Arabidopsis thaliana: one gene and its partners. The protein of the gene in region 1 purifies or fractionates together with the protein of each later gene. This does not show direct contact. Each region holds a gene or a part of one and is shown in the gene's direction. Other genes may lie near its edges.

Evidence for each region.
Region 2: the proteins of RAPTOR1 (region 1) and AT1G48970 purify together in Arabidopsis thaliana (affinity purification with mass spectrometry, with the first as the bait; one large-scale study listed by BioGRID). This does not show direct contact.
Region 3: the proteins of RAPTOR1 (region 1) and AT1G05805 purify together in Arabidopsis thaliana (affinity purification with mass spectrometry, with the first as the bait; one large-scale study listed by BioGRID). This does not show direct contact.
Region 4: the proteins of RAPTOR1 (region 1) and AT4G17950 purify together in Arabidopsis thaliana (affinity purification with mass spectrometry, with the first as the bait; one large-scale study listed by BioGRID). This does not show direct contact.

The regions. Positions count from the first base shown.
Region 1 is NC_003074.8:2,690,617-2,697,964, reverse strand, and holds the start of RAPTOR1 (Regulatory-associated protein of TOR 1), read left to right. Parts: upstream 1-2,564; 5' UTR 2,565-3,053; coding exon 3,054-3,362; intron 3,363-3,726; coding exon 3,727-3,829; intron 3,830-3,940; coding exon 3,941-4,023; intron 4,024-4,102; coding exon 4,103-4,261; intron 4,262-4,352; coding exon 4,353-4,469; intron 4,470-4,580; coding exon 4,581-4,738; intron 4,739-5,302; coding exon 5,303-5,457; intron 5,458-5,554; coding exon 5,555-5,699; intron 5,700-5,784; coding exon 5,785-5,863; intron 5,864-5,948; coding exon 5,949-6,050; intron 6,051-6,251; coding exon 6,252-6,335; intron 6,336-6,438; coding exon 6,439-6,549; intron 6,550-6,893; coding exon 6,894-7,247; intron 7,248-7,318; coding exon 7,319-7,348. Other genes in the region: PYD4 (PYRIMIDINE 4), read left to right, coding at 1-110, 204-383, 453-678, 761-874, 982-1,068, 1,168-1,211. UniProt on the Arabidopsis thaliana protein: Probable component of the plant TOR kinase pathway that recruits substrates for TOR. Modulates plant cell growth and regulates the activity of ATPK1 kinase in response to osmotic stress.
Region 2 is NC_003070.9:18,111,829-18,121,140, reverse strand, and holds AT1G48970 (NagB/RpiA/CoA transferase-like superfamily protein), read left to right. Parts: upstream 1-3,307; 5' UTR 3,308-3,593; coding exon 3,594-4,155; exon of another isoform or gene 4,156-5,329; coding exon 5,330-5,458; intron 5,459-5,552; coding exon 5,553-5,899; intron 5,900-6,039; coding exon 6,040-6,784; coding exon of another isoform or gene 6,785-6,867; coding exon 6,868-6,967; intron 6,968-7,055; coding exon 7,056-7,110; intron 7,111-7,210; coding exon 7,211-7,273; 3' UTR 7,274-7,427; downstream 7,428-9,312. Other genes in the region: AT1G48980 (2-oxoglutarate (2OG) and Fe(II)-dependent oxygenase superfamily protein), read right to left, coding at 630-762, 835-906, 1,043-1,356, 1,443-1,513, 1,595-1,909, 2,336-2,426; AT1G48960 (Adenine nucleotide alpha hydrolases-like superfamily protein), read right to left, coding at 7,591-7,711, 7,860-8,048, 8,152-8,273, 8,362-8,589.
Region 3 is NC_003070.9:1,741,050-1,749,514, forward strand, and holds AT1G05805 (basic helix-loop-helix (bHLH) DNA-binding superfamily protein), read left to right. Parts: upstream 1-3,394; 5' UTR 3,395-3,793; coding exon 3,794-4,268; intron 4,269-5,160; coding exon 5,161-5,453; intron 5,454-5,711; coding exon 5,712-5,840; intron 5,841-5,986; coding exon 5,987-6,052; intron 6,053-6,143; coding exon 6,144-6,212; intron 6,213-6,321; coding exon 6,322-6,378; 3' UTR 6,379-6,685; downstream 6,686-8,465. Other genes in the region: DGL (alpha/beta-Hydrolases superfamily protein), read left to right, coding at 155-1,570; RABA5E (Rab GTPase-like A5A protein), read left to right, coding at 7,256-7,727, 7,979-8,301.
Region 4 is NC_003075.7:9,966,220-9,973,580, reverse strand, and holds AT4G17950 (AT hook motif DNA-binding family protein), read left to right. Parts: upstream 1-4,348; 5' UTR 4,349-4,573; coding exon 4,574-5,213; intron 5,214-5,320; coding exon 5,321-5,376; intron 5,377-5,453; coding exon 5,454-5,591; intron 5,592-5,717; coding exon 5,718-5,879; intron 5,880-5,962; coding exon 5,963-6,286; 3' UTR 6,287-6,802; downstream 6,803-7,361. Other genes in the region: AT4G17960 (phospholipid hydroperoxide glutathione peroxidase), read right to left, coding at 1,354-1,593, 2,203-2,427; AT4G17940 (Tetratricopeptide repeat (TPR)-like superfamily protein), read right to left, coding at 6,803-6,923, 7,016-7,188, 7,264-7,361. UniProt on the Arabidopsis thaliana protein: Transcription factor that specifically binds AT-rich DNA sequences related to the nuclear matrix attachment regions (MARs).

The DNA.
Region 1 (7,348 bases):
ACAGAGGAATATTTGGATCCGACGGTGAAAAGTACGCGAGTGATGTACACGATCTTATCCAATTCGGAACGTCCGGTCAAGTCGCCGGTTTCATTGGCGAATCAATCCAGGCGAGATTAATTTGTACTTATTTCTTATATCAAAAAGGTATTTATGATTATGATAATGAATATGCATGTAATGTAGTCTATATCCTGTAACAGGGTGTTGGAGGAATCGTAGAGCTTGCTCCCGGATACTTACCGGCGGCTTACGACATCGTGAGGAAAGCCGGAGGAGTTTGCATCGCCGATGAAGTCCAATCCGGTTTTGCTCGTACCGGAACCCATTTCTGGGGGTTTCAATCCCATGGTGTTATCCCTGACATCGTCACCATGGCCAAGGTTCATCATTATCATGATTCATGCATCGTTATCAATTTATCATCATCAATTCTAATTTGGATTTTGCAGGGGATCGGTAACGGTATACCACTTGGAGCGGTTGTGACGACACCGGAGATTGCCGGCGTTTTAAGCCGTCGGAGTTACTTTAATACTTTCGGCGGAAATCCAATGTGCACGGCCGCAGGACACGCAGTACTTAGAGTCCTTCACGAAGAGAAGCTCCAAGAGAATGCTAACCTCGTTGGCTCACATCTTAAACGTAGACTTACGCTACTCAAAAACAAATACGAACGTGAGTTACTTCTTGTCCAAATTAAAATCAATTTTAAAATTTTTCTTTATTGAATATCTTATCCTTTCTCTAATTTGTTTAGTCATTGGAGACGTGAGAGGGAGAGGATTGATGCTAGGAGTTGAGTTTGTCAAAGACCGCGACTTAAAAACTCCTGCAAAAGCAGAGACCCTTCATTTAATGGATCAAATGAAAGGTTAGTTGTGTTCAATCCTAAACCAAGTGAAATTGATCACTCTCATCATATAAAGTTGATACTTATGCATTTAAGATAGTGTTTAATACAAATCTTTTGGTATCAAGAAATGGGAGTGTTGGTGGGGAAAGGTGGATTCTATGGGAATGTCTTCAGAATCACTCCTCCTCTCTGCTTCACCCTCTCCGACGCTGGTTAGCTCCTTAGTTTAACATATATATCTTCAAATTGGTTTCTTTTTGTTTCATTTTTTTATTCATGATTTATGTTGTTTCAAATCTTGTATTTTGTAGATTTCCTCGTGGATGTGATGGATCACGCCATGTCCAAGATGTGATTTACTATCTTTATCCGTTCTCTAATGATCACTCACCCTTGTATGTGTATATAAATAACACAATACATCATAAAGTAGAATTACAATTGGTGTTTACCGAAATATATCACAGATGCAAGTATATGTAACTAAATGTACAGTACTGTATACACTTGATAGAATCTACAAATAAATAAAAAACTCGCTGCTAATGATATTCCACAAATACATATATTGATCCGAAGTTTCGAGTTTAGAGTAAAACTTGAATGATACACCTGTGGGGCAAAACAGTTGGTCATCAAAGACGAGGAAGTGGTAGAAATGGCGGCGCCGCGGCGGAGTAGGAAAACGATGTCCGGAGAGCTGTCCTGATCGCGGAAACGAGACTCGTCAGCACGAATATAAGTTCTTCAAGTATGCATAGTGTCTTTCTTATCATCGAATCTTCTTGTTTTCTCGATGCGAGATTCCCAAGTGAGAGAGAGGGAGTTGTGATATTTTTCTGCTGACTTTTAGATATATATGGCCTTTGATAATGTTATTCAGACAAACAAAGTGTCAGCTTGATGTTTGTGTCCAAAATTGATAATATAATGGAATAATTGCAAAACGGAACCTGAAGTTTTGATTAACATGGAATTTGAACCCAATATTTTTTCCCTACACCAAATTTTTAGTTTTTCGGTTTTCATTTTTTTACCAACTACAATAAACCCTAGATGAATTCGGTTTAGAAGACCAGACATTGCTATGTAAGAGTAGAAAAACCGTTGGTGTTTAGATTACACTAATTTAAACGTTATAACACAAAACTGATTAAAACATAAATATACTTATGAAGCGTGTGCAATGATGATCCCTTCATGTACCCCGTTGTACGGAATCCTAGAGGTGATTCGAAGAATTTATGGTAACTCACGTAACAAAGTGTCAGCTAAGTAATTTATGGTTACGAAAATACAATTGTCTCGTTTAAAAAAAAATTAATATAGTTTTAAAAAATCTAATATCGTTTTTAAATTTAATATCATTTCTCTGTTACTAGTTTAGTAGCTTGAATTTTTGTTTTCGTAATTAAACTAGACTGATTTTTTAAATTTAGATTTAGACCGTGATTAGAATAAAAGTGAGTTTTAAGTTGCATTTTAATCAAAGAATCAGATTGAATTTGCGATTAACTTCTCAGTTAATTAGTCGATCCATTGATGGTGTTCTTTGAATTTGTTTCTCAATGATGCATACAAAATTTCAATTTCCACATTTTAAACATAAATTAATTTTAAAATTATAGATATTTAGTATACCTCTCAATCTTATAATATTAGTATTTAATAACATTGCATTAAAGTTAGTAATTAATTAGAGTGGATTTTTGATCTGAAGAGGGTAAAACTAAAAACGGAAAGGAGAAAAAGAATGAAAGAGAAGTGGAAAGAAAACGCAAATGCATTGAAGACTTTCCCTTTGTCTCTCTCTTTGACAAAATCCCAATTTTCGCATCCTCACTTTCTCCTCTGCCTTTTTTTTTTCTCTTCTGCCGCCACCACCACCACCACTGTTAATTCGCCGCCGCTTCCACATCAATCGCCGTCGTAGCCAATCATCATCGTTCTTCATCCTCCGCTTCTCCTGATTCTTAGGGTTTCCGCTTCCGCTTCTCTGTCGAGGGTTTTTCGAGCTGGATTCTCTGCTCCTGCGCCGCTGGTGCAGCGGCTTTGTTGATTGATCTGGATTTCTCCGTCTTCCTTTCTATTTTATTTTCTGTATCTCGCACAATCCAAACAAAAAAGCTAGGGCTGAGGATTTGATTTGCGTGATTTCTGGGGGTGTGTTAATTCGGGGGTGTGTTCTCCGATTTGGATGGCATTAGGAGACTTAATGGTGTCTCGGTTCTCGCAATCTTCTGTTTCTTTGGTCTCCAATCACCGTTACGACGAAGACTGTGTCTCTAGTCACGATGACGGTGATTCCCGGAGGAAGGATTCTGAGGCTAAGAGCAGTAGTAGCTACGGGAATGGTACAACGGAGGGAGCCGCCACCGCCACCAGCATGGCTTACTTGCCTCAGACTATTGTGCTCTGCGAGCTTAGACACGACGCATCCGAGGCTTCTGCTCCCTTGGGGACTTCTGAGATCGTATTGGTCCCCAAATGGCGGCTTAAAGAACGAGTAAGTTTTCAATCGAACATTGTTGGTAGCTGCAAGTATGTTAGACTAGCTTGTTTAGTGCAACTGACGATGTAAGAGGCGGGTAGAACAACTACATTTTCTAGAATTCATTATAAAATCTGCTATTGTTCGCTACTATGTTAGGTAATGTTAACCGAGGAGGGTTGTGTACTTGTGTTAACGTTTTTATTGTGGAGCTGAACCTTAAAGATACATGTTTCCGTTTCGTTTCAATCTCAATGTCTCTTCAGAAATAATTCTATTTCTCGTCGGAAGCTAAATCAGGTGTTCATTGGATCTGATAGCTAGGGGAGTTCTTGCAAGTCTCATATTCTTTGTTAACTTTTCTTCTTCTTCTTTGCAGATGAAAACAGGATGTGTAGCTTTAGTTCTGTGTTTAAACATTACTGTTGATCCGCCGGATGTTATAAAGATATCTCCTTGTGCTAGAATCGAGGCATGGATAGGTTGAAACTTTGGCCTACTCAATCCTATTACACTCTTTCTTTTCTGTGTTTATCCCTTTTTTTTGTCGCCACAGTCAATTTTATCTCTATTTTTTTTCTTTCTGATGGCAGATCCATTTTCTATGGCACCGCCTAAAGCTCTCGAGACAATTGGAAAAAATTTGAGCACTCAGTATGAGAGATGGCAACCCAGGGTGACAATTTTTTTCCCTGCACCCTATCATTATTGTTTTGTTAAGTTACGCTTTTCTTATTTATTTTATGATTTCTCAGGCCCGCTATAAGGTTCAGCTTGATCCGACAGTAGATGAGGTGAGGAAGCTGTGCTTGACTTGTCGGAAATATGCAAAGACCGAGAGAGTTCTATTCCATTATAATGGGCATGGTGTGCCAAAACCTACAGCTAATGGTGAAATTTGGGTATTTAACAAGGTCTGTTTTTTACTAGCGTTTTCTTTTCTCTACCATGTTCTTGTTCCTTCTCGTCTGTTACCACGAGCTGATTGATTCTCTGTTTGAGCAGAGTTATACACAGTACATTCCCTTGCCAATCAGTGAACTTGATTCCTGGTTGAAGACACCCTCCATCTATGTTTTCGACTGCTCTGCTGCTAGGATGATTCTGAATGCCTTTGCTGAGGTAAAGGAAACAACCACTTCACTTATAGAACACATCTCCTGTCGAGTTTAGGACTCGAGTCTGTAATTTTCGTTCCATAAGTTGATAAAATTCATATACTCTTTACGCCAGCTTCATGATTGGGGTTCTTCTGGTTCCTCTGGATCCTCAAGGGACTGCATTCTACTTGCTGCTTGTGATGTACATGAGACACTTCCTCAGAGCGTTGAGTTTCCAGCTGATGTTTTTACGTCTTGCCTGACAACGCCCATTAAAATGGCGTTGAAATGGTAAATCATCATTCCATCTCTGACTTTTTTTGCGTACTCAGATGTCATGTTTTCTTCCTACAAAATGTAGTTTAAGTTCCGTCTAGCTAAGTTTATAAAATCTTAGCTAGTATGTTCTCGCTTCATCATGAGGTAAGATCAAAACTTTTCGGCAGCATTTTGGATGGGACCAAAGATGGATCATAGAGTTTTGTTTAGAAGACCTTGTGCGTATGTTTTAGTTTTGTGGGGTGGTAAAACAGCATATCATAAGAGTTGTGAGATAACCAGGACTGATAATACCTTTAGCTGCCAAGTCACTTTGCATATGGAAGTTTGCTGATGTATGGTTTGCAATAATTCTTTCTGTCCTGGCTAAGTATTTTTGATGATACCAAAAGATTCACGATATCATCCTGATTGATAGCCTTCTCCTTCTGTGATATTTATTCTATAACTAATTGCTACTGAGTCTGTGCGGTTTCAATTCTGGGCTTCTTTTTAACCTTTTTCCAGTAAACAGATCACCATTTTATGTAGTTCAGTTTAGCTTGCAGCTTTTTCACAAGAGGATTTCCATTGCAGGTTCTGCAGGCGTTCGCTTCTGAAAGAAATTATCGATGAATCACTTATCGACAGGATTCCAGGCCGGCAAAACGATCGTAAGACATTGTTAGGGGAGTTGAACTGGATTTTCACAGCAGTGACGGATACAATTGCTTGGAATGTGCTTCCTCATGGTACTTCTCCAAACTTTCTGCATAATTTATCAAGGGTAAATCTTCTTCAAGTTGACTTCTTTTCTGTGTCCTCATGAATGATAGTTTTACCCTGCAGAACTTTTCCAGAGATTATTCAGACAGGACTTGTTGGTCGCTAGCCTTTTCCGGAATTTCTTACTTGCTGAGAGAATAATGCGGTCCGCAAACTGTAATCCAATATCTCACCCTATGCTGCCTCCTACGCATCAACATCATATGTGGTATTCAACAAGAACCATATTCTTCTGTTATGTAAAATGTTATGTGTCTAGATTTTGACTCAGCTATCCGTTGCATGCTTTTCAGGGATGCATGGGACATGGCTGCTGAAATCTGTCTTTCTCAGCTTCCCCAACTTGTTCTGGACCCAAGCACAGAGTTCCAGGTTTGTTTTGTTTTGTATAGTTTCCTGCAATTGTATACGACGGCGCTTGTTTTGCTTATAAAACGTGTTCCTATCCTTTTTCTAGCCAAGTCCGTTTTTTACTGAGCAACTGACAGCTTTTGAGGTGTGGCTTGATCATGGATCTGAGCATAAGAAGCCACCGGAGCAGTTACCTATTGTTCTTCAGGTGCCTAGATTTCTGTACTTATTTTCCCTTTTGCTGAGAGAGAGAGGGAGAGAGAGATTCATATTCATTTGCCATTTTCTCACTCTGGGTTTTGTGTGGATATGGCTTAGGAACATTCTTTGGCTTCCTTCAGGACGTTCTATCATAATTTTGTTTGCATATTGCCATTTTAGCGTATTTATAGAATCTGGTTTGTTTCAGGTGTTACTTAGCCAGTGCCATCGGTTTCGTGCTCTTGTACTTCTTGGAAGATTTCTTGATATGGGTTCATGGGCTGTGGATCTGGTATACTTCTTTAAATTTTAATTTCTCTCTCCCTTTGGCTTACACAGAGTTTCTCCTTTTTATCATGTATATGTCTTTACACGTGAAGTGAACATTCTTCTAGGCCTTGTCTGTTGGAATATTCCCATATGTGCTGAAGCTTCTGCAAACAACAACGAATGAGCTAAGACAGATCCTGGTTTTCATATGGACAAAAATTCTTGCACTTGACAAGGTAAATATCTGATGTTCCATGAGCTATTTTTTGGGAGGAAGATGGTGGTTTGCCATGCCTCTTTTTGTTATTCTACAAATTGTGCTAGTTCTTTCTGTGGTTTTCTGTGCACCTGTTGTTTATTGAGTGTGGACCTTGATGGAAAAACAATTTGTGTTTTGTTCTGACATGAATTCTGAATGAACATATATTTACCACCTAATATTTCTCTACATTTTTTTATATCATATCCTTGGACATCGGATCAAGTTGCTTACCTATGGCCGTCACACTTTCAAGATGCATAAGTTTTCTCGTTTCATTCTTGGATTATTCCAACATTGACTGGTCTCTTTTGTTTTCAGTCATGTCAAATTGATCTTGTGAAGGATGGGGGGCATACATACTTCATACGATTTCTAGATAGCTCGGGTGCATTTCCAGAACAACGAGCTATGGCTGCTTTTGTTCTGGCTGTCATTGTGGATGGACATCGACGAGGCCAGGAAGCATGTCTTGAAGCTAATTTAATTGGTGTTTGTCTCGGGCACCTTGAAGCATCCAGACCAAGTGATCCACAACCAGAACCATTGTTTCTACAATGGCTTTGTCTTTGTCTTGGAAAGTTATGGGAAGATTTTATGGAGGCCCAAATAATGGGCAGGGAGGCAAATGCTTTTGAAAAGTTGGCACCTCTGCTTTCCGAGCCCCAACCTGAGGTGAAGTTCAGATTTCTGTATAACGTCCTTCGTGTAGAAGTGTACGTTCTGACCATAACATTCTCTTGTAGGTAAGGGCTGCTGCAGTTTTTGCCCTGGGT
Region 2 (9,312 bases), on another chromosome or scaffold:
GCACTATAATGTCCTTTTAACCGGTTAAACCTTGTGTGGCTTAATTATCATTTCTCTGTTGATATTTTGTGTTTGTTTCTCTCTTTTCTTTCTCTATTTAATTATCCTGAATCCATCTTTCAAGCTATTTGTGTCTATTCATCAAAATAATTTGGGGTCATTGATTGCCAATTTGCCATATCCATAGCCATAGCCATTCATATATGATATCCATCAAAGTTTTAGTATATCTTTTATCTTGTTTGATTGCATCACATGAAACCAAAGAAAAACAGAATCTATGTAGCTATCAAACTTTATATAATTTAGATCTACACCGAATTTAACCTTCAGTTGAAGTTTACGTGTGACGCAGGGACAAACTTTATATCAAACCATATTCAAAACAAAACAAACCATAAAAGTTTGTGTCTATGAGAAAGGAAAACATTACTACTCACAAAGCATACAGAAATGAATTTTGCCACTAATTTGTCAAATACTGAAAATTATTCTGGTTATCTAATTGCTAGAACGATAATTTTTTGTCACACCAGTTGAGCAACCATATGAACATCAAAAGAATTAATTATTTGCACTACATATAACCACTAATCAAACTGTAATATATATCAATTAAAGTTCAGGAACTAAAATACATGGTCAGAGGAGCCACAAGATTTCAGCTCGTATGTCAATGGCTGAATCCCTTGCAAATAAGGTTCTGGTGTGTACCAGACTGGCCATTTTGACTCATCCATTTTTCTAAATGTGATTGATATTCTGTGAATAAAAAGAAGACTCATGAATAAGAAAACAATGTTTATATGCAAAAGAAACGAATCAAGATTATACCTTTTCGTGGGAACTTCAGGTACACAATGCTTAGCTACATCAGCTCCATTCCCGTTTAACACAAGCACTGATCTGTAAAGAAGTTAAGTTTTTTTTTTTTTTTTTTTGGTCACATATACTGTTTTCAAGTTATAACGAGAATGTGACATAAAACATTTGCAAGCGCATATAAATATATAAGAACTTTTTTTATAGCACAAGAACTTACCCAACAGGAAGCGGTAATGAATATGAACCACCCGAATATTCACCGGTTTCCTCAACTTTAAGGTTTGATCCGAAGAGAATATTGCATTCACTAAGGAAAGAAACAGTACAGAACGGGCGGAGGAAGTCGTGATGGTCGATATGAGGAGGTATGCAATCACCTTCATCATAAATATTGACTACACAACAATCAGGAACACAAGTTGGAGGCAGAACATGCCATTTAACCAACCTTCTTATGATCACCTTGAAAAGATGAGGCAATGGATCAACAGTTTCATGTTTAAGAATCCCCGCCAGGTTTCCAGTTTTGCTCTACAAGTTTACTCATTCAGTTGTTGTGGCACTCACTAGAACTCATAAATCGAGAAGAAGATTGATCAAGAACTAGTTTTACTTACTGTACGGTAGTTGAAACAACAGCCGAATTGAATAGTTGAACGTCCTTTGCCTTGAGCAGTAAAAGCACGCTCTACATAGAGAGATATACAAATTAGGATTTCAGATCAAAACTATATAGAAGAAAGAACAAGGAATCTTAGCTGCTACTTACTTAGTTCTCCTTTTTGAACCTTTTCTTGCAATTCACACACTTTATCAACTATCCTTCTCTGTTCCGCTGCATTAAAAACTTCGGTATGCAATTCGAGTCCCTCTAGTATGTTAACAAGCTCTCCATTAACTTTCTCCAAGCAAACAAAGTCTCTTTTTCTCTTCACGTTTATCGCCCGAATATGCGTTCTTTGCTTCCTCGACAGTTTATGATTCTCAAGACTCGAACCAAAAGCCTCTCTACTTGAATCTTTATGATCCTCTTCCTCACTGAGCTCATCCTCCAATGTCATATGAGAAAAATCTACAGCAACTTCTGTTAAAGATCCTAATATTAATATCAGCGTCTTTCGAATTACTTGGCGAATGACCATCATAGACAATGCACATATATAATCATCAAATCATTTTGTTACTGGTTTTATTTTGAGTCTATAATAACCACCATTGAATATGAATCAATTTACTTAATCCTTTATACCAGCTTGATTAGTGCTACTACTAGCTACTATGCCATGATTCGTCATAAGAAACTCAAATCAAACGATGGATAATCTAAATCCCAATACAAAAAGCAGATAGTTGAATCCCACAATATTATAACTGGTCCTTTTAGAGTTCTATTTTTCCATGAAGAAAATAGTGTGATAAGAGAAATTATAAAGAAAATCTCTCTTTACACTACAAATTCCAAGTTACCATTAAAAAAAATATTCTGCTGAACCAACGGTTAAATCCTTACCTTGTTCTTGAGAGCGGATTCGTTTGGAGAGAAGGTTGACTTTTGAAGCGATCTCGAGTTCCGACTGCCGGATAAAAGAATAGTTGTCCATTGCACAATATATCAAACCTCATGTACGATACATTAATCCGTCTTCTACCGTTTGTTTTGGCGCTTATGATCAACGAATGTAATCTTGACTTTTGTTAGGTCGTTGAAGTCATCATATATTTCGTGTCTTACAAGCAAATTGAAGTTTTCTACATAGACTATAGTTTTGTGTGAATAAATTTATCACTTATCATTTGACCGAGTAATTCATCCAAGACTGAGTTTTGCAGGAATTTATAATTGATAGAGAGACTCTGTTTCATCCTGTTTTAACTCAAGTAATTGCCTTTTTCTAAAAAAAATGGTTGTAAAGTTAACAAAAATCCACGTCTCAGATTAAAATAACGTTTTATAAACCACATGTACCTTGCATAATATGTTGTCTGCTTGAATTTGTCTTTGCCAGTAGTTGAACATAATGAATAACAAAAAGTTGAAACAGTCGATGTTAGTATGTTACATATACTGGAATTAGAATTCAAAACAGCTGATTATTGCAAAATGAGTAGATAAATATAGGTGCTTCAAAATTAATAGAAAACAACGAGTTCGAAAGTAAATTCTTGGCATGATATGTAAATGATTGTGAAGTGATCCTTTTTGTGATTGTGCTGATGTATTGTAGTGTGAATTGTGTCTTTGAATTTGCGTTTAGATGTGTGTTTGTGTGTGTGTTATTTTTTTTTTTATGTATGAATTACGTTTGAGCGTGCTTAGTTTGTCTTGTGTTTTGTACTTTTACGACCTTCTGTTCCCTATTTTGTTTTTGAAAATATTGTTGTGACAAGTGTATTTTGTGTATTTGAATTGGCATTTAGATGTGTGTGTGTTTGAGTATGTTGTGTTTTTCTTGCGTTTTATGAAACCTTTTTTTTTTTTTTTTCAAAATCGCTTTTAATAGTACTAAAGAAAATTTGTTCAGACATTAATATTCTTATTTTTTTTATAATAAAGTTTACATAAAACTTAAATGATCGATTTGCATTTCTTTGGGTTAAATACTTTTTGTCACGTTATAAAAATCTTATTTTATCTCATAATAATGATTACTTGAAAACAAGGTTTAGGCCATTTAGCAAATCTCCCCACCGTTTTGGTCAATCCTTTGAATCTCTCCTAATAAAACCCTAAAAGATCATCATCATCATCGTCGTCGTCGTCCCGCTCAATGGATACTCGTCGCGGAGCTCTTGCGGTTCCTAAAGTCCGTCGAGTAGGTTTCTTCACATCAATCGAGCCGCCTCCAGAATCATCATTACAACGACCAAATCGAAGCCAATCCGGTCCAGTAGATGCAACCACCTCTTCTTCTCCTCTCTCCGATTCACCTTCCGGTAACTTAATTTCTCCGGTCTTAATTCCACCGTCGCGTCACCATTCCGACAATTTAACCTCTCGCGTTGCTGCTGCTGCTGCTGCTCCTGTGCCCGTCCCTGGACCTGCCGCTTTCCGCCGATACTTAACTCCTGAACGGACTCTTCTTCACGTTGGTAGTTACAATCCTCCGGATTCGCTTCTCGGGACATCATCACCCTCGAGTAACGGAGGGCTTTCTGAGGATTCGGCTTCTCTGTTTGGGTTCCAACGGAGTGATTCGACGAAATTATCAGCAAGCTTACCTAATGGAGGCTTTGATTTGACTCTAGCTGTTAGAGCTCCTCAGGAATCTGAAACCAAAATTGCGACCACGTCTGCTTCTCAAGGGAAAAAGAAGATCGCCGAAGTTTCTGGTATGTATACGAATCTATCAATCTATTTAAGTGTCTCTTGAATAAGCTCTTTGTATGGTTGAGTTTTGTATTATCCAAAAGAGACCTTTGTGGTGAATTGTGATCCCCAAGTAACATCGGATGAGGCAGCCTGTAGTGCCGTAGGGACTGGGTAGGCCCGGATATTAATATCTTCTTTGGAATACTCTGTTACTTGATCTCATGGAGAGTTTTAGGGAGACCTTATAGCGGTATTTGGAGAATGTTTAAAGTTGAGTTTGGTTTAGAAGTCTGGTGAGCAATTTCTGCCAATGTTGATAGTTCGACTCTTGACTTTGAAACAAAGAGGCGTGTTTTGAAGATAAAGCAGTCAGCTGTTGTGGACCTGTGGTCTGTGTGAAATGCATACGTTTGCGGAGGTGGTACAACATACTCCCAAATCAAGCACGTCAAGGAAGCTGCATCTCTATAATGGGTAGGAGCAGTTAGCCAGTTACTGTTTCAGAGGTGTTTAAATGTGAAGGATGAAATTGACTAGAGCTTCCCACCCAACAACGTGTCATCATTGACACTTCAATCTCTCTGAGCATTATGTTTCTTAGTTTCATAGTACATCAACCTTCGTATTCTTCATGTTAACTCATTTCTACAAAAGGACAATTCGCAGACAGACCGACAACAGGACATCGTTATCTTCAAAGCATAACTCTGTTCTTTGCTTCGTCACAAGCTATACCTTTTTCTCAAAGTTAGTTTTTAGGCAAGTCTTCAACATTGAACGAAATGCATCATCAAGTTTTGCTTCCGTACTGGACTGCCTACAAAATCCTCCTAAACTGTTGTTGCCATCATCGTCGAGGCTGGGAATTGGTCATCTATCTCTGTTTTAAACTGGATTGCCTGCCTTGGTCTTCTCTAACAACGAAATTGCCTTCACTGCATTGCCGGAGATTGGTTGTTAGACTCCTGAAGTACCCTCCTTGATCAGAGGCTTTGGGCTTCTCTGGAGGGGTTATTAAGCTCCCTTTCAAAGTGGACTATCCTTTAGAATTAGAATTTAAATAGCTACTTTGTGTTTAGTATCAACTTTGACCTTATGAATTGCTATGGGTTTGAGTCATTCAATTATTGCCATGCACAGATGTTTCCTTCTAGTTTTGCATTTCGTTACTTACAGGAAGAATAAATCCTGCAGGAAAGAGTGAGTCTGCGACCACAAAACCCCAGAAGGAAAAGGAACCAAAAGCATTGAAAGATAAAACCACTAAAGCAGAAAGACGTGCCATCCAAGAGGCACAACGGGCAGCAAAAGCTGCTGCAAAAGGTTCTTGTTTTGTTCATTATTTTTGCTTTGTTTTCCATATTCATTAAAGTGGAACGTAAAATCATCTAAGTGCTTCCCTCTTGCTAATTTTTAGGCGAAGGAAGCAGGCGTGCAGATGAGTCTGGTAGAGCTAATCCTGGCAAGGCTGCCATAAAGCCCCAACCAAAGAAAGAAAGACTTCCCGTCACGTCCTCTGTTTCTGAAAAAACAGCTGTAGCAGTAGAAAAAGAGAAGAGGATGGATGTCCCTCAGACACAAATGCAGTATGATGATAAAAGCCGAGTGGATAAAGCTAAGAGGCGAGCTGTGGTTGAACAGACCGAGAGCAAGAACAAAGTTGAATTATTTCTCCATCTTCCTCAATACGAACGCAGCAATCAGCTTCCCAATTTAAGCTCCAATTTTTTCACACTCGATTCCATACACCATGCAGTCTATAAGGTACACCTACTTGTTTATATGTGACTGTGAAATGTTCGTTACACTTTTGAACTGGAATCCTTAAGGGTTTGAAACCCTGTGGTTTATCTCTGTGCCATAGATCCTCAAGTGACGTATATACATGTTTTTGTTAATCTTAGGTGGGTTTGCAACATTTGGCTGGAGATATATCTGGGGACAATGCACGATGTATTGCCATGCTCCAAGCATTTCAAGAAGCTATAGAAGATTACAGTACACCTCCTATGAAAGACCTGACCATGGACTTGACAGCCAAGATAAACGGTTATGTTTCATTCTTGATAGAATGTCGTCCCCTCTCCATGAGCATGGGAAACGCAATCAGGTTCCTGAAGAACCAAATCAGAAAACTACCTGTAAACCTGTCAGAATCAGAGGCAAAAAGTTCCCTCTGTTCTGACATTGGCCGGTTCATAGACGAGAAGACAATTATTGCAGATAAGGCAATCGTGCAACACGCCGTAACAAAAATCAGAGACGGAGAAGTTCTTCTTACATATGGATTCTCTTGTGTGGTTGAAATGATTCTCCTATACGCCCATGAGATTGGGAAAAAGTTCCGCGTAGTGATTGTAGACTCACGCCCTAACCTTGAAGGGCAAAAGCTACTCCGTAGACTTGTGACTCGTGGCCTCGACTGTACCTACACTCATATAAATGCCATTTCCTACATCATGCGTGAGGCTACACGTGTTTTTCTCGGTGCTTCATCAATATACTCGAATGGAACTCTTTACGCAAGAGTTGGCACATCCTGCATTGCAATGGTTGCAAACGCATTTAGTGTTCCTGTAATTGTTTGTTGTGAAGCTTACAAGTTCCATGAAAGAGTCCTACTTGATTCAATCTGCTCCAACGAACTTGGTAAATGTTTCACTCGCTCTTCTTCTTGTCGATTATTCATTTACTTGAATCAGAGTTTTTTTGCCTGTGTGAAAAATTTACAGGCGATCCTGACGCCGTAGCCAACATACCATCATTTAGAACCAATGCAAAGCATTCAAAGACAATGGACAACAACAAAAACCTTCAGTTTCTGAATCTAATGTAAAGCGCTTCATAAGTGGTTTTGAGAATCATCACAAAGCTTTATTCTTATTTCTCTTAAGTTTGTTCTTATTTTTGTGTGTTCCAGGTATGATTCTACTCCTTCAGAATATATATCTATGATTGTTTCGGATTATGGAATGGTACGTATCTCTCACACATTTTGTTATGTTATGAGTTTGGTATGCAGAGCAATTTCCATTTAGTGTCTGATACATTTGTGATTTGTGTATGTGTGAATAGATTCCTCCGACGAGTATACCAGTGATTGTACGTGAATACAGGAGAGAAAACTTGTTGCTATAAAAAGGTAATGTGTTTAGAATATTAGCATACAAAATACAACAGATACAGTTTACGGAGGAGAGAAAAGCAAGTATTTAACATAAACAATCATTCTTTATATATTTTCTAATGATGAATTTTGCATTTTGACACTCATGGAAAAATTGTTTTCATTTATACCTTGATCGCTCGAACCAAATTTTTGGACGAGGGTTTGAAAAACTGTTCATTGTTTAAGAATAATGTGATTGGAATGACTTTCTTTTTAGTATCGAGTAAAATTTGTTTATTTGAAGGTAAAGTTTTGGTGGGTTTGTCTCAAAAGCAAATATCGTAGACTATGAACCGACACCGTATTGGTCTTTGGATCTCCTCCGGGGCCTTGTTCTCCATAGTATGGCATGAGGACTCGGACATAATCTGTATGGCACTTTAGTTGGTGTCGGAATCTCAGGAACCCTGTTTCAATCAAAGTTTCATTTTTTTTAATCAGCACTATGAAATGTTTCTATCCAAAATATCAAACTAAAAAAAAAAAACTATTTCACCAAATCACGTAGTTTTAATTAAAAATAGACTTGATAACAAAAGAGGTTAGGAATCTTACTGTAATCCAGAAATTTCAATTTGTGAAAAGTCAAAATTAGTTAAACAATCTGAAGTCGCTGTCGCCGTCGCCTTAGAGGTCTTGTGTCCCTTAACCTTCACCGGAGGCGAAAGTTCCGGTGAAGGCTGCTTTATAGCCATCACTTTGCAATTGAAATTTCTCGCTACATCGATCCCACTTATTGCCCATCTACACATCACAAAGACACACAAAGTCACAAACATTACTCATTCGTCTATGTAGGGTTCAAAATCTTTAATAATGACCCCGTATCGATCAAAATAGTTCCTACCTGTAAAGAAAGCTGTTCTGATGGAGACCAACGAGAAGCATCGAAGCACCAATCTCTTTGACAACTTGAGCAATCATTCTTCCATCATCATCTCCTTCTCTCACAATGATCTCAGTATTCGTCTGTCAAAATTACGATCACAAAGGAAAAACAAACCTAACCATCAATAAAATCTAGTAATCTTTCCGATCAAGATTCATTTCCACTCACGTTGAAGAAAGAGTCGCAGATTTCACGGAAAGAGAGAGCAAGATTGTATCCGTGACGGCGGAGGAGACGCGCCGCCGTGGATTTCTTCTTACGCGGTGGAGGAGAGTACACGTGGAGGAGTACTATGACGTCACCTTGACGGAGGAGGTTGTGAAGTGCCCATTGTAACGCCGTCCTCGCCGCTTGTTTATCTTCTACGACCACCACAATCCTCCGTACATCTTCCATTTATTTATTCTCTCTTTCTCTTTCTTTTTCTCGAGAATTGGGTTTAGGTTTAGTGTCGTAATTCTTGTGACTCACTCTCTCTCTCTCTCTCAATATGTGTTGTATTTGTAAATAATAGTATAAAATGGAATTTCTTTGTAGTTGGAAATAAATTAAAAGTGGGTCAAATGTGAAGTTGAGTATGAAATCATGGACCGTGTTTTTTTGTTATTAGGATAAAGTGGTGAATATGTATGTATTGCATTGCATCTTACACTGTTAGGCAATAACTTGATTTTAGTCTTTTACCATTTATATTTGAACATGGGTTTCTTACTATCACCTTAGGAATCATTGTTCTGATTAATAATTTGCTTTATGAAATAGTACTTGAAAAGGTCATTATGACGGTTTTTTAAGAAAAATATTGTCATTGCAATTGCAAGTTTTTTTAGTTCATGTTAGTATTACACTATTAATAATGGAAACCATAATCAGTAGATAGAGATACATTAAATGCAATTTGAAAAACCGAACATGAATATTATTGGTCGTGTTGGTGCTAAACCCGCGTCTATTAAAGTATGATTCATTACAATCACATCTAGTCATCTAGAAAACAATCAAAATCGTTAATAAATTGACACTTTTTATTATTAGATAGGTGTAATTGGTACGGTAGATGAAGAAAAAATCTTAATAACAATTAAGCACTGTGTGAGAACAGTTTCTACTTGCGCGAGC
Region 3 (8,465 bases), on another chromosome or scaffold:
ATACTCGCCAAACATATTGTAGCTTTTTCTATCTCCATGATCTCCATTCACATTTTCACTCTATAAATACGCATCTCACTCGTTGTCTCTCTTTATACTTCAACCAACTGCTCTCTATCTCTGTGTTTCCCTCTCTCTATACTGCCGTCCATTAATGGCGGCCAAAGTCTTCACTCAGAACCCTATCTATTCTCAATCTCTAGTTAGAGACAAAACTCCTCAACAGAAACACAATCTTGACCATTTCTCTATATCCCAGCACACCTCTAAAAGACTCGTTGTCTCTTCTTCTACAATGTCCCCTCCGATTTCATCTTCTCCACTCTCTCTTCCTTCTTCTTCTTCTTCTCAGGCCATTCCTCCTTCTCGAGCACCTGCAGTGACTCTACCGTTGTCTCGGGTTTGGAGAGAGATACAAGGGAGCAATAACTGGGAAAATCTCATTGAACCTCTAAGCCCTATTCTCCAACAAGAGATCACTCGCTACGGGAACTTACTCTCCGCTTCTTACAAAGGGTTTGATCTAAACCCTAACTCCAAACGTTACTTGAGTTGCAAGTATGGAAAAAAGAACTTGCTTAAAGAATCCGGAATCCATGACCCTGATGGCTACCAAGTCACCAAGTATATCTACGCCACACCAGACATCAACCTCAACCCTATCAAGAACGAGCCTAACCGTGCACGTTGGATCGGTTATGTAGCGGTTTCTTCTGATGAATCGGTGAAACGTTTGGGAAGGAGGGATATTTTGGTGACGTTTCGTGGCACTGTCACCAACCATGAGTGGTTAGCTAACCTAAAGAGCTCTTTGACTCCGGCTAGGCTTGATCCTCATAACCCTCGTCCTGATGTCAAGGTCGAATCCGGGTTCTTAGGTTTATACACATCCGGTGAGAGCGAGAGCAAATTCGGGCTAGAAAGCTGCCGTGAGCAGCTTCTCTCCGAGATCTCGAGGCTTATGAACAAGCACAAAGGCGAGGAAATAAGCATAACACTTGCGGGACATAGTATGGGGAGTTCTCTAGCTCAGCTTCTAGCTTACGACATAGCGGAACTCGGTATGAACCAGAGAAGGGACGAAAAACCTGTTCCGGTGACCGTGTTTTCGTTTGCTGGTCCTAGAGTTGGTAACTTGGGGTTCAAAAAACGGTGTGAGGAGCTAGGAGTTAAAGTCTTGAGGATCACGAATGTAAACGATCCGATCACCAAACTTCCAGGTTTCTTATTTAATGAGAATTTCAGATCTTTAGGTGGTGTTTACGAGCTTCCTTGGAGCTGTTCTTGCTACACTCACGTGGGAGTCGAACTCACCCTCGATTTCTTCGATGTTCAAAACATTTCTTGTGTCCATGACCTCGAGACTTACATCACTCTAGTAAACCGTCCGAGATGCTCGAAATTGGCGGTTAATGAAGACAATTTTGGCGGCGAGTTTTTGAACAGAACAAGTGAACTGATGTTCAGTAAGGGACGACGTCAAGCGTTGCATTTTACAAACGCAGCGACCAATGCGGCATATCTACTTTGTTCTATATCCAACCATATGTTGTATTATAATATATTTTAGGTCTAGATTGATCCAAGCTAAAATTTTGGATTCTTTTTTAAGATAGGACAAAATAATTATTGCCCTATCTTTTACGTAGCATAAGAAATGTACATATATAGATGTATATGCAAAACCTAATACAAAAAAGTATATTTTCCACATCCAAGATAAATTATTGCGTCTCATCTATCACAATGTGAACAAAAATAATTATTTTCTTCTCTTAGTTACTATGAGTTCACAATATAATACTTTTCTTTAGGTTAAAGCTCTCAACTGTTGATGAAGTACAAGAACTCAAAATTGTGAATGAAAAAAAGGGACATCATCCAATATCAGGCGTGTACATATTAGCATTGTTGTGTATCTTTTTATATTATAGTCCATTAGTCCTAATCGATAGATGTATTTTTTTTTGTTTTATTAGTTATAAAAACAGACATCTATTATTAATTTGTTATGGTTAATTGGTTATTGTATATTATTATAGTAGAAGTGACGTGAGGTACCAACGTATTAGATTATAAATATAAATAATGGCCAAAGACAAAGCCATTTGTCAAAACTTCAACGTCATTATAACCTGTAAGATTAAAAATGAACAATAAGAAATCATATTTAGCAAAAAAAAAAAAAAAAAACAATAAGAATCATTTGTCAAATCTTCAACATCGTTACAGTGTATAATTTATATTTTGATTTTTTGTTCTAAATGATCAAAGTTCATATATAAAGTTATTTATATGCTCAAATTTAATCATCGAATATATATACAATTTGTCTATGTTATTTGTCAAAGACAACGTCAGCAATAGTTCCATATACTCTCTTTTTCTTTCGGAGTCTTTATATTACTCACGGAGATATTAAATTATATTTATTTTTTCACTGAGATATTTTTTTTTTTTTGGTTTAATGTTAATAAACTCACTGAGATATTAATTAATACATGCAATCTTTATCTATATTTCCCATTTTTATTTGTAAATGTGTCCCTTCTCGTGTTATGCGAGGGTCTTTTTTTAACTTTTTAATTTCTCATTTGGAAGCTTTCATCTATAAATATATGCACTAGCTTATTCTATATATAACATAAAACCGAAAAAAGGTTTTGTTCACGATGTGGATTCTCTGTTCACGAGAGGTTTTGTTGAAAAAGAAAGAAAGAAAATAATTCAACTTGAATTTGGAAGTTTGGTTACAGATCACATCATTCGACAATAAAAATAAAGACATATATAACAATTAGAACAGTAACTAATTTGAATTTCAGCTTCGATTTCTTACGAATCACATGGGGTCAATAAGGGTGGGGCTAGAAAAACACGTACGTTTGGAGACCAATGTGTGTATCATTCCTGCATGCGCATCAGATGTGTTTCACTCTTCAGAAAAACGTTTATTTTATTTTGCATGTCACAGTCGTAGCTAATTATCCGTACGCATCTTAATTACGACTCCATTTTACACACCAATTTATGGATATATAATTCAGACAAGATGAGTTCTCGTTTAATTTTACTTCTTTCCATTTGTGGAAGTTCATATACTATTGTGAAAATTTGAAAATAACTGGTGAAAGAGGAAACGTCCATATTTGTGGGCTCTATTTATAATAATAACAACAATATTAATTGTTTAGGTAAAAATTAACAGAACTATTTTGAATTACAATCGGAAAAAGGTTTGCGTCAAAAAAGTATTGATGAACCATGCATTTGATATAAGCATTTATGTTTGTTCAATTTACTATTAAGCAATTAAGTCGAATTTTATCGAATCATTTTAATTTTTACCTTTAACATTTCTGTGATCTTGAAATCTTTAAATTAACAATGTGAGTTATATACACTAGAGAAAAATAATTGCATTCCACTGAAAACCTCAACATCTTGGGAAATTTAAACTTAATCAAAGACATCGCAAATGTTGCTTATCTTTTTATCAAGCCCAGCCCACATATTCGCGGCCCCAAAGCCCAAAGGTTAAGCTGACTCGTTACAAAATAAATAAGTATTAATAAAGGTTTTTGATTGGCTTATTTCGGTTTAAATTTAATACCATATCTTTCGGAAGATCACGTGAGACACATGTGACATCCAACGAATAGCCAATCGCTGAAAAGTGAAGACTTTTTGTTACCCCATAAACAAAAGCATCATCTCTCTCTCATCTTTTATTTTTCTTTTAGAAACCAAACTTTTCAGATTTCTCTCTCTCCATTTGGCGATAGAAGAAGTCATGTACCAATCATCATCCTCCACGTCATCATCATCGCAGAGATCATCGCTTCCCGGCGGCGGAGGACTGATCCGTTACGGCTCAGCTCCGGGATCGTTTCTAAACTCTGTGGTTGACGAAGTCATCGGAGGAGGCTCATCAAACGCTCGTGACTTCACCGGCTATCAACCGTCGTCGGATAACTTCATCGGTAACTTTTTCACCGGAGCTGCTGACTCATCCTCGCTGAGATCCGATTCGACGACTTGTGGAGTCAACAACTCATCCGACGGACAGAAACAGCTAGGCAATAACAATAATAATAATAGTAATAAAGATATCTTCCTCGACAGATCCTACGGTGGATTCAACGAGATCTCGCAACAACACAAGAGCAACGACATCGGAGGAGGAAACAGCTCAGGATCTTACTCTCTCGCTAGACAACGTAGCTCTCCCGCCGATTTCTTCACCTACCTCGCCTCAGATAAAAACAGTTAGTCCTTTTTTTACTCAAGAATAGTAACTGTGATGAGATATATATATTTAGACAGACAAGTTTACTCATTTTCAGACCATTTTTCCTTAGAATTTGCCAAAAATCGTAATGTAGAATATGAGCTATATAGTTTTCAGTCATTCAATCATTCATTGCTCAACTAAAGATCCGTTTTTTGGTGAAATGAAAATCTAACCACGAGGGTATTTTCGGTATTTCTCACTGTGAAGTATCTAGTTTCTTACAAGTTAATTAACGACTATGTATATAAAATAAGTTGACATTGTGAGCTTTGATATTTAGGGTCGTTGCTAAATTAGCTTGGTTGGTACTTGTGCAAGACGTGATCCTCGTATTTTCGGAATGACGAAAATACCATTTGATCCCTAACCACGTGCTTGAAAATACAGCAAAAATGTGGCTCGGTTACCCTTAATTTGGGATATTATTTAAATCTTCGAGGATTCCTATATCTCAAGTTGCATTTATTTATTTAGAGGATGGATTTTTTCGTTGATGACCAATAGTTTCTCTGCTGAGATGGCGAAATATCATTGGTTGTGATGAAGATTATTCAAATAGAAAGCGATGTAGATCTAGTTGGTGGATCTGATCTGTCCACTTTTATATTATTTTTTCCTTGGTCCTGATGATTCGTGCTTTGCTTCGTTGTTATCTAATCATAATATCTTCCACCAAGCCTGGATGTGACTTCCCACACCTAACCGGTCACCGGCCTGAACCGGAATTCAACTATCCATATTATCCAAAAATCCCTCTTTATTTACTTACATTATATGGTTTCTAATATTTTGGATGTGAATGTGAATTATTTTTAAAAATAATTTTCACGTAATGTCATTATAATATAGTTTACTTTGTAAATCAGATTTCTCGTTGAACCAACCAACCAGTGATTATAGTCCGCAAGGAGGGTCTAATGGGGGACGAGGACATTCCAGATTGAAGTCTCAGCTAAGCTTCACGAATCACGACTCTCTGGCTCGGATCAACGAGGTCAATGAGACCCCAGTCCACGACGGTTCAGGCCATTCGTTTTCTGCGGCTAGCTTTGGTGCAGCCACTACTGATTCTTGGGATGACGGTTCCGGTTCGATAGGGTTTACCGTGACTAGGCCCAGTAAACGATCCAAGGACATGGACTCTGGTCTCTTTTCGCAGGTACAATTTATTTGTTTCCATGTGGGATTCCTTTTTTTTTTTCTTCATGTGTTATTACTATAAACATGCTACTTTAGTCAAATTATATGAAATTTCAAAATTTCTAGAAAAGGACAAAAAAATGTAAAATATTTGTTTTAGGATAGACATAAAAAAAAAAATTAACTAGTAAAGGTAAATGCAGCAAAACTCTTTAGTGGCCATACATTTTTGTTGGTGGCCAATTCTTACCGAATATTTTTATCACTGGTTTTGCAGTATAGTCTTCCTTCAGACACTTCAATGAACTACATGGATAACTTCATGCAGCTTCCAGAAGATTCTGTACCCTGCAAAATCCGGGCCAAACGCGGCTGCGCCACCCATCCTAGAAGCATCGCTGAGCGGGTCAGTTATAAACACTTTTTAATTTATTTAGCGATGGATAATTAATTCACTAAATTTAGCAACAAATTTGATCGTCCCTAATCATGTAGACCCTATTCTTTTTGCCATCCTCCTATCTTAACCTATACAATATGTTTATATTATAGGAGAGGAGAACGAGAATAAGTGGGAAGCTAAAGAAGCTACAAGATCTTGTCCCCAACATGGATAAGGTTACTTTATATCAAATATATATAGTATATATGGTAACATCATTTTGAAAAAGTGTTCATTACCTCACACACTTGTTGCTGATTTTCTTAGCAAACAAGCTATTCAGACATGCTGGATTTAGCTGTACAACACATCAAAGGCCTTCAGCATCAACTTCAGGTTCCCTTATCTTACTTTTTCTGTTTAGGTCAGCTGAATCCATTTCCAGAGTTCTCTCTAGTTCATGATCCATATTGATACATAAACACATTTTCATATACAAACGCAGAATTTGAAAAAAGATCAAGAGAATTGCACGTGTGGGTGCAGTGAGAAACCAAGCTAGCTCAAACCCAAAGGTAGGGTCATCCTAATTTTATTTGCATTGTTCCGATTTTATCATATGAGAGAATTAGAGAAGATGTAAATAAAATAGATTATATTAAATGTCTAATCCTCTTATAATTAAGCTCCTCATTCGTTATCATTATAAGATAGAACAGTGACAATTGTCCATTATGTTTTTGTTTCAAGTTTATGTTTTGAGTGTCGCCTATTTTGTAAGGATTATGCTATGAATTCTGAAACTAATTCGAGTTATGATCATAAGCAAAGCAAGCTAGCATCCATTATATATATGACTTTCTAATTTGATCTCTCTTTTCTTTATACTTCTTCATAAATAGTTCCTGAATTGAATATTGAAATTAAAGGTACGCTAATTTTTCTTATTTTTAAAATTGAAGAAATGGACCAAATACCAAAGTTACTTGAACCAATGAAAACATTAATAAGCAGAATTCACGTACCAAAGACCAAAGTGAATCTCGTTGATCATATAATGAATTATGATATATTTAGTAGTAGTTAGAAACATGCAAATAGATATAGGTTGATATGAAAATTGGCATAAAATGTATGAACCGGAATACTATTAGTAGCATTAACTTTCCTATTATTAACAAAACTAGCGTGTATGCACGTTACAGAGAAAGATTTATTCTTTATTAGAGATGAAATTTCTTTAGTTATACATACACTTTGGTTTTGTAAGTTAAAAAAATATAACTCCCTCCTACGTTACCAAGAAGTCCACCAACGTGGTGGATTTTAAAATAACTAACCAAAAACACAAATCAGGGAAAAGTCGTAAATTAAAACTGATAATTTGGAGGAAAATATAGAAAAAGAAAAAGGTAACGACATTAAAGAAGGTGCACTTAATGCGCAGTATGTCCTCTTGTGCCAGCTTGTTGCACCGTCTTCCGTCTCCTCCTCTTTCCCTCTCTCTCTCTCTCCAAACCAGTCCTACTTCTCTCTCTAGAAACCTAGGGAAGAAGAAGAAGACGGTGAAGCGAGCGATGTCTTCGGACGACGAAGGAAGAGAGGAGTATCTCTTCAAGATTGTTGTTATCGGCGACTCTGCCGTCGGTAAATCTAATCTTCTATCTCGTTACGCACGTAACGAGTTCAGCGCTAACTCCAAGGCGACGATCGGAGTCGAGTTTCAGACGCAGAGCATGGAGATTGAAGGTAAAGAGGTCAAGGCTCAGATTTGGGACACTGCTGGTCAGGAGCGTTTCCGTGCCGTCACTTCCGCTTATTACCGTGGCGCTGTCGGTGCCCTCGTCGTTTACGACATTACCCGCCGCACCACTTTCGAAAGCGTTGGACGTTGGCTCGATGAGCTTAAGAGTAAGTCTCGATGTGAATTATGCGATTGACTATCGATTTAGGGGATCCTCATGATCTAATTAGGTCGTACGGATTGACTTAGAATTGGGAAATTTTGAATCTAGTTTTGGTAGATTATAGAATTTGTGACCTAGCTAGAACATAACAGAGGATTATTCAAGAACCGCTTAGGAAAGTATCTCATAATGAACATCTTTAGATTGGTCTGAGATCTAAAATTGATTCATTTGCTCTTTTCTTGGTTGTTTCAGTCCATTCGGATACGACGGTGGCGAGAATGCTGGTGGGGAACAAGTGTGATCTAGAAAACATAAGAGCAGTGAGCGTGGAGGAAGGAAAGGCTCTAGCCGAAGAGGAAGGACTCTTCTTTGTGGAAACATCGGCTCTTGATTCGACTAATGTTAAAACAGCTTTCGAGATGGTGATACTTGATATCTACAATAACGTGAGCCGTAAGCAACTCAACTCAGATACTTATAAAGACGAACTCACCGTGAATCGGGTAAGTCTTGTTAAGGATGATAACTCTGCCTCCAAACAAAGCTCTGGTTTCTCTTGTTGTTCTTCCACTTGATGATATACCACACCAAAATAATCCTTTTTTATTTCTCACAACTGTAACTTTATTATATAAATTTTTGTTTTTTTCTTTGACTCATGGAAGAAAAGAAATTCATGAACTGTAATTTATTTGGTCACATTAATTTTCCTTTTATAATTTTGGCAAACATTCAAAAG
Region 4 (7,361 bases), on another chromosome or scaffold:
CATTCGAATATCAATAGAAATTATTAGAAAAATCCAGTAAATTAAACTAATTAACTAGTACTCTCTTTGTAGTGTTGTGGTTAGAGGTAATAGATCTTCCTAAGCAACAGAACAGCTGTTCTCGTGTTGTTGAGTTTTTGAGATTTCAGATTTCTCGTGTCTTGTCCATGTGGCTCTTGTGAGACCTCCACACGTGGCAGGAAAATATTACCAATACAGATATCAAAAAAGAAACTTGGATTCATGTTTAAACCAAAAAGGTTGATCATATTATTATTATGTATACACACACAAAGATCATCGTAGTAATACAAATTACAAAGTCCAGTAGAGTATCTCAAAACTAATTGTGATTGTCAAATTATAAAGCTAGTCATTATTATTTTTGGCTCAAGGACGAAAAACCAAGTCTCATTGCATAGTCTAGTACTTCGATAATGTATCACAACAACATGTATTCTTATATGGTTTGATACCAATATTTTGAAATGCTGATGAAACAAAAACCTTTCATAGCCTCTCTTGTGTTCCAAATCATTTATACTATAAGTAATCGTCTTTGATGCTCAAATGCTCAATGCATTTTTTTTAAAAAGGAAGAAGAAACGGATCATCTCAAAAGTACATCACAACGGCATTCAAATGGTTCCAATGGAAACAAATGCTACTTGGAACGAGATTCTTTTTGCACGGTCCATGAAATTTTTGGCGCGTTTGTACTAGGCTTGTTCTCCCATTCTCCAAAGCCTACCTTTCGACAAAATCACATCACCGTTCCATTGGTCGCTCATCCGCAAAAGATGGATATGGAGGATACATTCGACCTGCTCACCTTGCTCTCTTTGTTTGGTTTGGGCTGGCTCCTTTGTGATCTCGCTCGATATAGAGGCCATCGTTGGGCAAAGCACGCCAATATTTTCTCCCTGTTCTTTGCTCTAGTGTCTACTTACCAACTGTTCAAGTACATAAACCCTTTATTGCCGTTGATATCTAGATTTTACAAATCTTTACCAATTATTGAACAAAAACCAAATCCTATGGAGTTTCTTTTTTGCAAAATCTACACCAAATTATTATTCAAGTTTTTTCAAAAAAACTATAATCTACACCAAACATCAAACACTAATAACCCAAAAACAAATTTGATGAATCAAATCAGTTTGTACAGATTCGATAAGCCAAAATATAGAGTTCACAGACACAAACAAAGCTAAACTGATCATTGCCATTTCTCGCTAATATGTCTGCAAGACTGCAACTCTATTTGCTTTTTGCTTCCCTCTTTACACATTCAATCCGGAGTTTCTGATAAAACAAAAACCTGTCCTAATCTTCTCTGTGTTCAAAAACAATTCATACTATAAATAACCTTCCTTGATGTTCAATGCATTGCTGGAGTTTCCCATCAGAAGACACAACTAGTCCTCTTACTTTTACAGGCTTCGTTTTGCGTTTAATTTGGAATCTTGGCATAGTCTTAATACAGTTATGATCATCTTCTGCGTTAGTCGATTTCTCTCCTTCTTCCAAAAACTCATCTGCAACATCTCCATCTTCATCAACCCTTAGCCGTTTTGTGTACCATCTCAGTCCCTGGTTCAACACAAGAGAGAGCTATAATACAGCTTGTGACAGAACCAATATCCAAGAAGATATGCAAGCTCTTAACTAAGAAAAATTCACTAGTCTAACATTAGAAATAAAGTAACAGCTAACTGGAGGAACCACAGGAGTAAAAATATAAACAGAAGTGATACAGAGTCGTTGTCTAATGTCAAAGAAAAGACAATGTGAAACCAGTTTAGAGGCAATGATTATAGTTACGCTTCTACTACATAGAAAGTTAAGGTAAGCCATATTGGTGAACTTACTTCTACTCATTTTCTTTATTGCATCTAACTGTTACTACTCATGAGAACATCTAACTCAAAACCTCAATAATGCTAAAGCAAGAACAGAGAGTATCGAAATCAATTTTGTACACTATGCTAAGAGAGTCAAGCTGAGGACTATGTAGCACATGAACCATGATTACTAACAGCTAAAGTAGAACTAAAGAATGAGGAATCTTTAATGGAACTTACTAATCAATCTCAAACCCAATGTATGATGTTCCTAAGCTAATCTAACTAACTAGAATCCACACTTCCGTATAAAGCAATCAACCACTATAGCAACCGTTCCAGCACAGGAATCCCAAACCTGAATACCACCATCTCCATTGGCGCAAGGCTGAAGAAGAGGACCAAGTTGAGACCTTTCGACAGCAACTTGAACCGGAACTCCAAATCCTTTCCTTGGTAATCCAGTTTCACGAAATCTCTGCTGATTACCTCCGTCACCGTAAACATCAATATCATCTTCCTCATTTTTCAATACTTCCTGGCCAAATCCAAACACACCAGCTAATTTCTTGAAAAAACCCATCCTAATCCTTACAAATCAAACTCTCCCAAAATAAATCCGTTACTAAAAATACAAACTTTCTCTCCCAGAAGCTACAATTTGCATACTAGTTTCTAGACCAATCCGTCACTAAGAGAAACAAAAAAAAAAATGATCTTTCCTATAAGTTAATCAGACAACAGATACTTATTAGGGTTTATGAAACTGAATCCTTTAGACCCAAGTTCTACTTCATAAACTGAATCCGAATATCTCCACTCTCTCTGCGACGACAATGGAGGAAAGTGGATCAAAGAGAGAATCTTCTTCTTCTTGCTTTTGCTCATTTCTCTACTTTCCAAATCTAACCCTTCTTCTTCTCCATTAACGAGCGGTAAATTCTTATTTACCACAATTACATTTCACTAGTGGGCTACATTAGTGAGAGTTAAGCCCATTAATAAAAGCCCACCTGACCAATAATTATACTTTTGGTCAATTGCTTCCAAGTTCATTAGTTTCCGTAAGTGTTTTCATTTTTCAATGCAACACTCTTATGTGTTGCAGCCTTGCAGCACCAAGTGATAATAGAGATTATGGATCTTTCAGGTGACTTGAATCATATGATAAACTCTAAAGTACTTTAAAAGAAAAACATTCGTTATCTGTCTCGAAATATTTCTATGTTCAGGTACTAATTTTTCACAGCATCTGGTTTTACGTGTCCAGTTTCTTAAGGTACGCGCATGGCGTAAACTGTTGATAACATTTGCTTTTTATTGCTTGTTGGTCTACTAAAGTCAATCACTTTAGTCGCTACCTAGACATAAAAAGTTTAGTACTTTTAGTCTTTTACATTGATTATCATCTCCAACAAAACCGGATACACATCACATATTTTATCCTTTGGATTAAACCGGGATACAAAAAAAAATCTAATCGGTAAATTCCATTTTCTCGTGAACAAGTATGGGAGAAGAGTACATAACCAATTAAAATATACACTTTTGTTCCTTTACACAGATTTTTGTTTTGGATTCTAAAGTTGCATATATTAAATATTTGGTTGCTACATTCTATTCCAACTCCAGTGGGTCTTTATCTATGTGATATAGTAGCATTAAAAATTAGTAACTTGAGTTTGTCAATTAATTTGGAATCTATAGAGAGTATATACAACAGTATTCTGAATTCTGAATGATAGATTTTTCTTAAAAAGATAGGCAATAGAAGGACAAAATAGTCAAAATAAGCTGCTGTCATTTTCAAACTAGTGATTGTTTTTAAGATCTGAAGGATATACTTAAGAAAAAAAATCTGACACATCAAAGTACAAACCCCATCTTTATTATTTTTGCATTTCCCAAACACAGTCAAACCAAAATCTTTAGTTTACATAATAATTTATTTGATATATTATTCTCTTATTAATTCTTGTGCATTTGTTTGCATTTTAGAGATTTTCTAAAAAGACACTGAACTAAAATAACCTCCTAATATTTTATTAAACTTCAATGTCTCATTCCGGTTTGATTTCTCTTCCAATAACCAAACTTGGTTCATTCAATGCAACAATGGAAATTATGTGAAAAACCCCAAAAAAATTGAAAACCATTTATTAAAACAGAACTAGTGTTAAAGGAGAGAACACCAAACCATTTACATTAGATTACAACTAGAAACTATAACTGGACTGAACATCATCATTATTAAAGACACAAACTCTTTATTTCATTCACATTTTAACAAAACCCTAATTATATTATATTTTAAAAGTTAAATTCATCAATATTAAAGAAAACAAAAACAAAACTTAATCTCCTGAAAACTGAAAACCATAAACCAAAGATTTGTTTCCTCAATTTCTTCTTTTATTTATATAATTAAAAATCTTCAAAAACACAAAAAAAAAATAAAAAAATTAGACACTAACTAGATCGTCCCTCGTCTGATGAAAGAACTCAAGAAAGAGAGAGAGAGAGAGAGAGAGAGAGAGAGAGAGAGAGAGAGAGAGAGAGAGAGAGAGAGAGAGAGAGAGAGAGAGTTGTTAGCTAGCTCACACGCTTTCGCTTAAAACTCAAAAACCTGCACTTTCTCGTCTATTTTCTCGGCATTCGTAAAACAGAAAAGTGGGTCTCCAAGAAAATTACCCTAAATTCACAAAGATTCATACTTTTCTCCACCTCCAATGGATTCCAGAGAGATCCACCACCAACAACAGCAACAACAACAACAACAACAGCAGCAGCAGCAACAACAGCAACATCTACAACAACAGCAACAACCACCGCCAGGGATGTTAATGAGTCACCACAATTCCTACAATCGAAACCCTAACGCCGCCGCCGCTGTTTTAATGGGTCACAACACCTCCACATCTCAAGCTATGCATCAAAGATTACCTTTTGGTGGTTCTATGTCACCGCATCAGCCTCAACAACATCAGTATCATCATCCTCAGCCTCAGCAACAGATAGATCAGAAGACTCTTGAATCTCTTGGATTTGATGGATCGCCTTCTTCTGTTGCCGCCACTCAACAACATTCGATGAGATTTGGGATCGACCATCAACAGGTTAAGAAGAAACGAGGTAGACCTAGGAAGTATGCTGCTGATGGTGGTGGTGGTGGTGGTGGTGGTAGTAACATTGCTCTTGGTTTGGCTCCTACTTCGCCTCTTCCTTCTGCTTCTAATTCTTACGGTGGTGGAAATGAAGGAGGTGGTGGTGGTGATAGCGCCGGAGCTAATGCTAACTCTTCCGATCCACCTGCTAAACGGAACAGAGGACGTCCTCCTGGCTCCGGTAAGAAGCAGCTCGATGCTTTAGGTACAGGATCTATCTCTATCTCTCTCTCTCTTTCTCTTATCAAATCAAATTCACTGTTTTACAATTTTACTTAATGGGTTTTGTCCTCTGTGTGTGTGTGTGAGCAGGAGGAACAGGAGGAGTTGGGTTCACGCCTCATGTCATTGAGGTTAAAACAGGAGAGGTAATGTGTTGATGTAGCAAATCTTTAATCTTCAATTTGTTTCTTTGGTTAAAGTTATGATCTTTCATTGTATTCAGGACATAGCTACGAAGATATTGGCGTTTACGAACCAAGGGCCACGCGCAATCTGTATTCTCTCAGCTACAGGAGCTGTAACTAATGTGATGCTTCGTCAAGCTAACAATAGCAATCCTACTGGAACTGTTAAGTATGAGGTATAAAATTACTCATGTGCTTTGTGCATTGCTTGCTTCTTGGCCTCATTTTGAGCTCTGTTGTTATCGAATGGAGCTGGAATTTAAATCTTGTATTGAGCTGTATTGGATGTGTTGTTGTTTCAGGGCCGATTTGAAATCATTTCTCTGTCAGGTTCTTTCTTGAATTCTGAGAGTAATGGTACTGTGACCAAAACTGGTAACTTGAGTGTGTCGCTGGCTGGACACGAAGGCCGGATTGTGGGTGGATGTGTTGATGGAATGCTAGTAGCTGGATCACAAGTCCAGGTTTGTCAAATTCTTAACCTTTACACTTGAGTTAAGATCAGAAAGTATTCAAGATACTGACTTTGATTGGGGTTTTTATATAGGTCATTGTGGGAAGCTTTGTACCAGATGGAAGGAAGCAGAAACAAAGTGCGGGGCGTGCTCAGAATACTCCGGAGCCAGCTTCAGCACCAGCCAATATGTTGAGCTTTGGTGGTGTTGGTGGACCGGGAAGCCCTCGATCTCAAGGACAACAACACTCGAGCGAGTCATCAGAGGAAAACGAAAGTAATTCTCCGTTGCACCGTAGAAGCAACAACAACAACAGCAACAATCATGGGATATTTGGAAACTCTACACCTCAACCGCTTCACCAAATTCCTATGCAGATGTACCAGAATCTCTGGCCTGGCAACAGTCCTCAATAAACAGATGGTTCATGGGTCAAGATTTGACCGGGTTTGCTTCTCTGTTCCTTTTGACACATCTCTCCATCAGATTTATCTCTATAAAGTAGATTGAGCTCTCTTACTCTCTCATCTTCTTCTCCTTTACTATTTCTCTTAAATTTAGCTTTGGTTTTAGATAAATAGAGAGAGAGAGACATGTTAAGTAGGTTTCAAATTCAATCTTGTTTAGTTTGTTTCTTAGTAGTTTCTTTTGATTGTGATGATCATAAAGACTTGTTCTTTTTCTCCTATATTCAACGAATTATCCACTTTAATTCTGATTCTAAACAACGAAATTCTAAACTATACAAAAGCACTTTTATTCTCTTATAATAAGGTTACATTCGTTTTCTTTCACATACATGTTTTCATTACTCTTCAGGTTATTACAACAAAAGTTAGTAAAAAGACAGTGAAATAGACAAAAAAAAGGTTGATACTTGATACATAATCTTAGTCTCCATTACTTCTTCTTCATCTTCGTCGTGTTAGTCTCTAAACTGCAGAAACCATGAGTGGTGATGCAGCCATCCATTCTTCTTCTTCTTCTTCTTCATCATCATCATCATCATCCTCTGCCTCCCACATGAAACGTGCATATGATCCCAAAACCATACTACAAAGTTACAACAACACAAACATTTTAGATTCAAAGTAAAGAAAATTAATTTGGGATTAGTAAAAGTAATCAAAGTATACAAATTATACCAATCATTAGGAGAAGCATTAACAGCTTGATCAAAGTAACCTTGAGCTCTCTTCTCATCTCTCTTCGTTTCCCATATCAATCTTCCATACATGGATAAAGCTTCTCCATCTCCTGGATTCTCCAGTATTGCTCTTCCATAGTACTCTTCAGCTCCCTCTGCATCTTTCTCCACCTGAAGATTCAATCCCAAATCAAAACCTAATCTCCAATTCCCAAAACTCAAATTCAGCTTCTAAAAATCACTAACCTCATACAAAAACTTGCCGTAATTCATCAGAAGAAGCGAATTATTAGGATTAGATCTCAACATCTCTCGATAATAATCACCGATCTTGCTCTTATCTT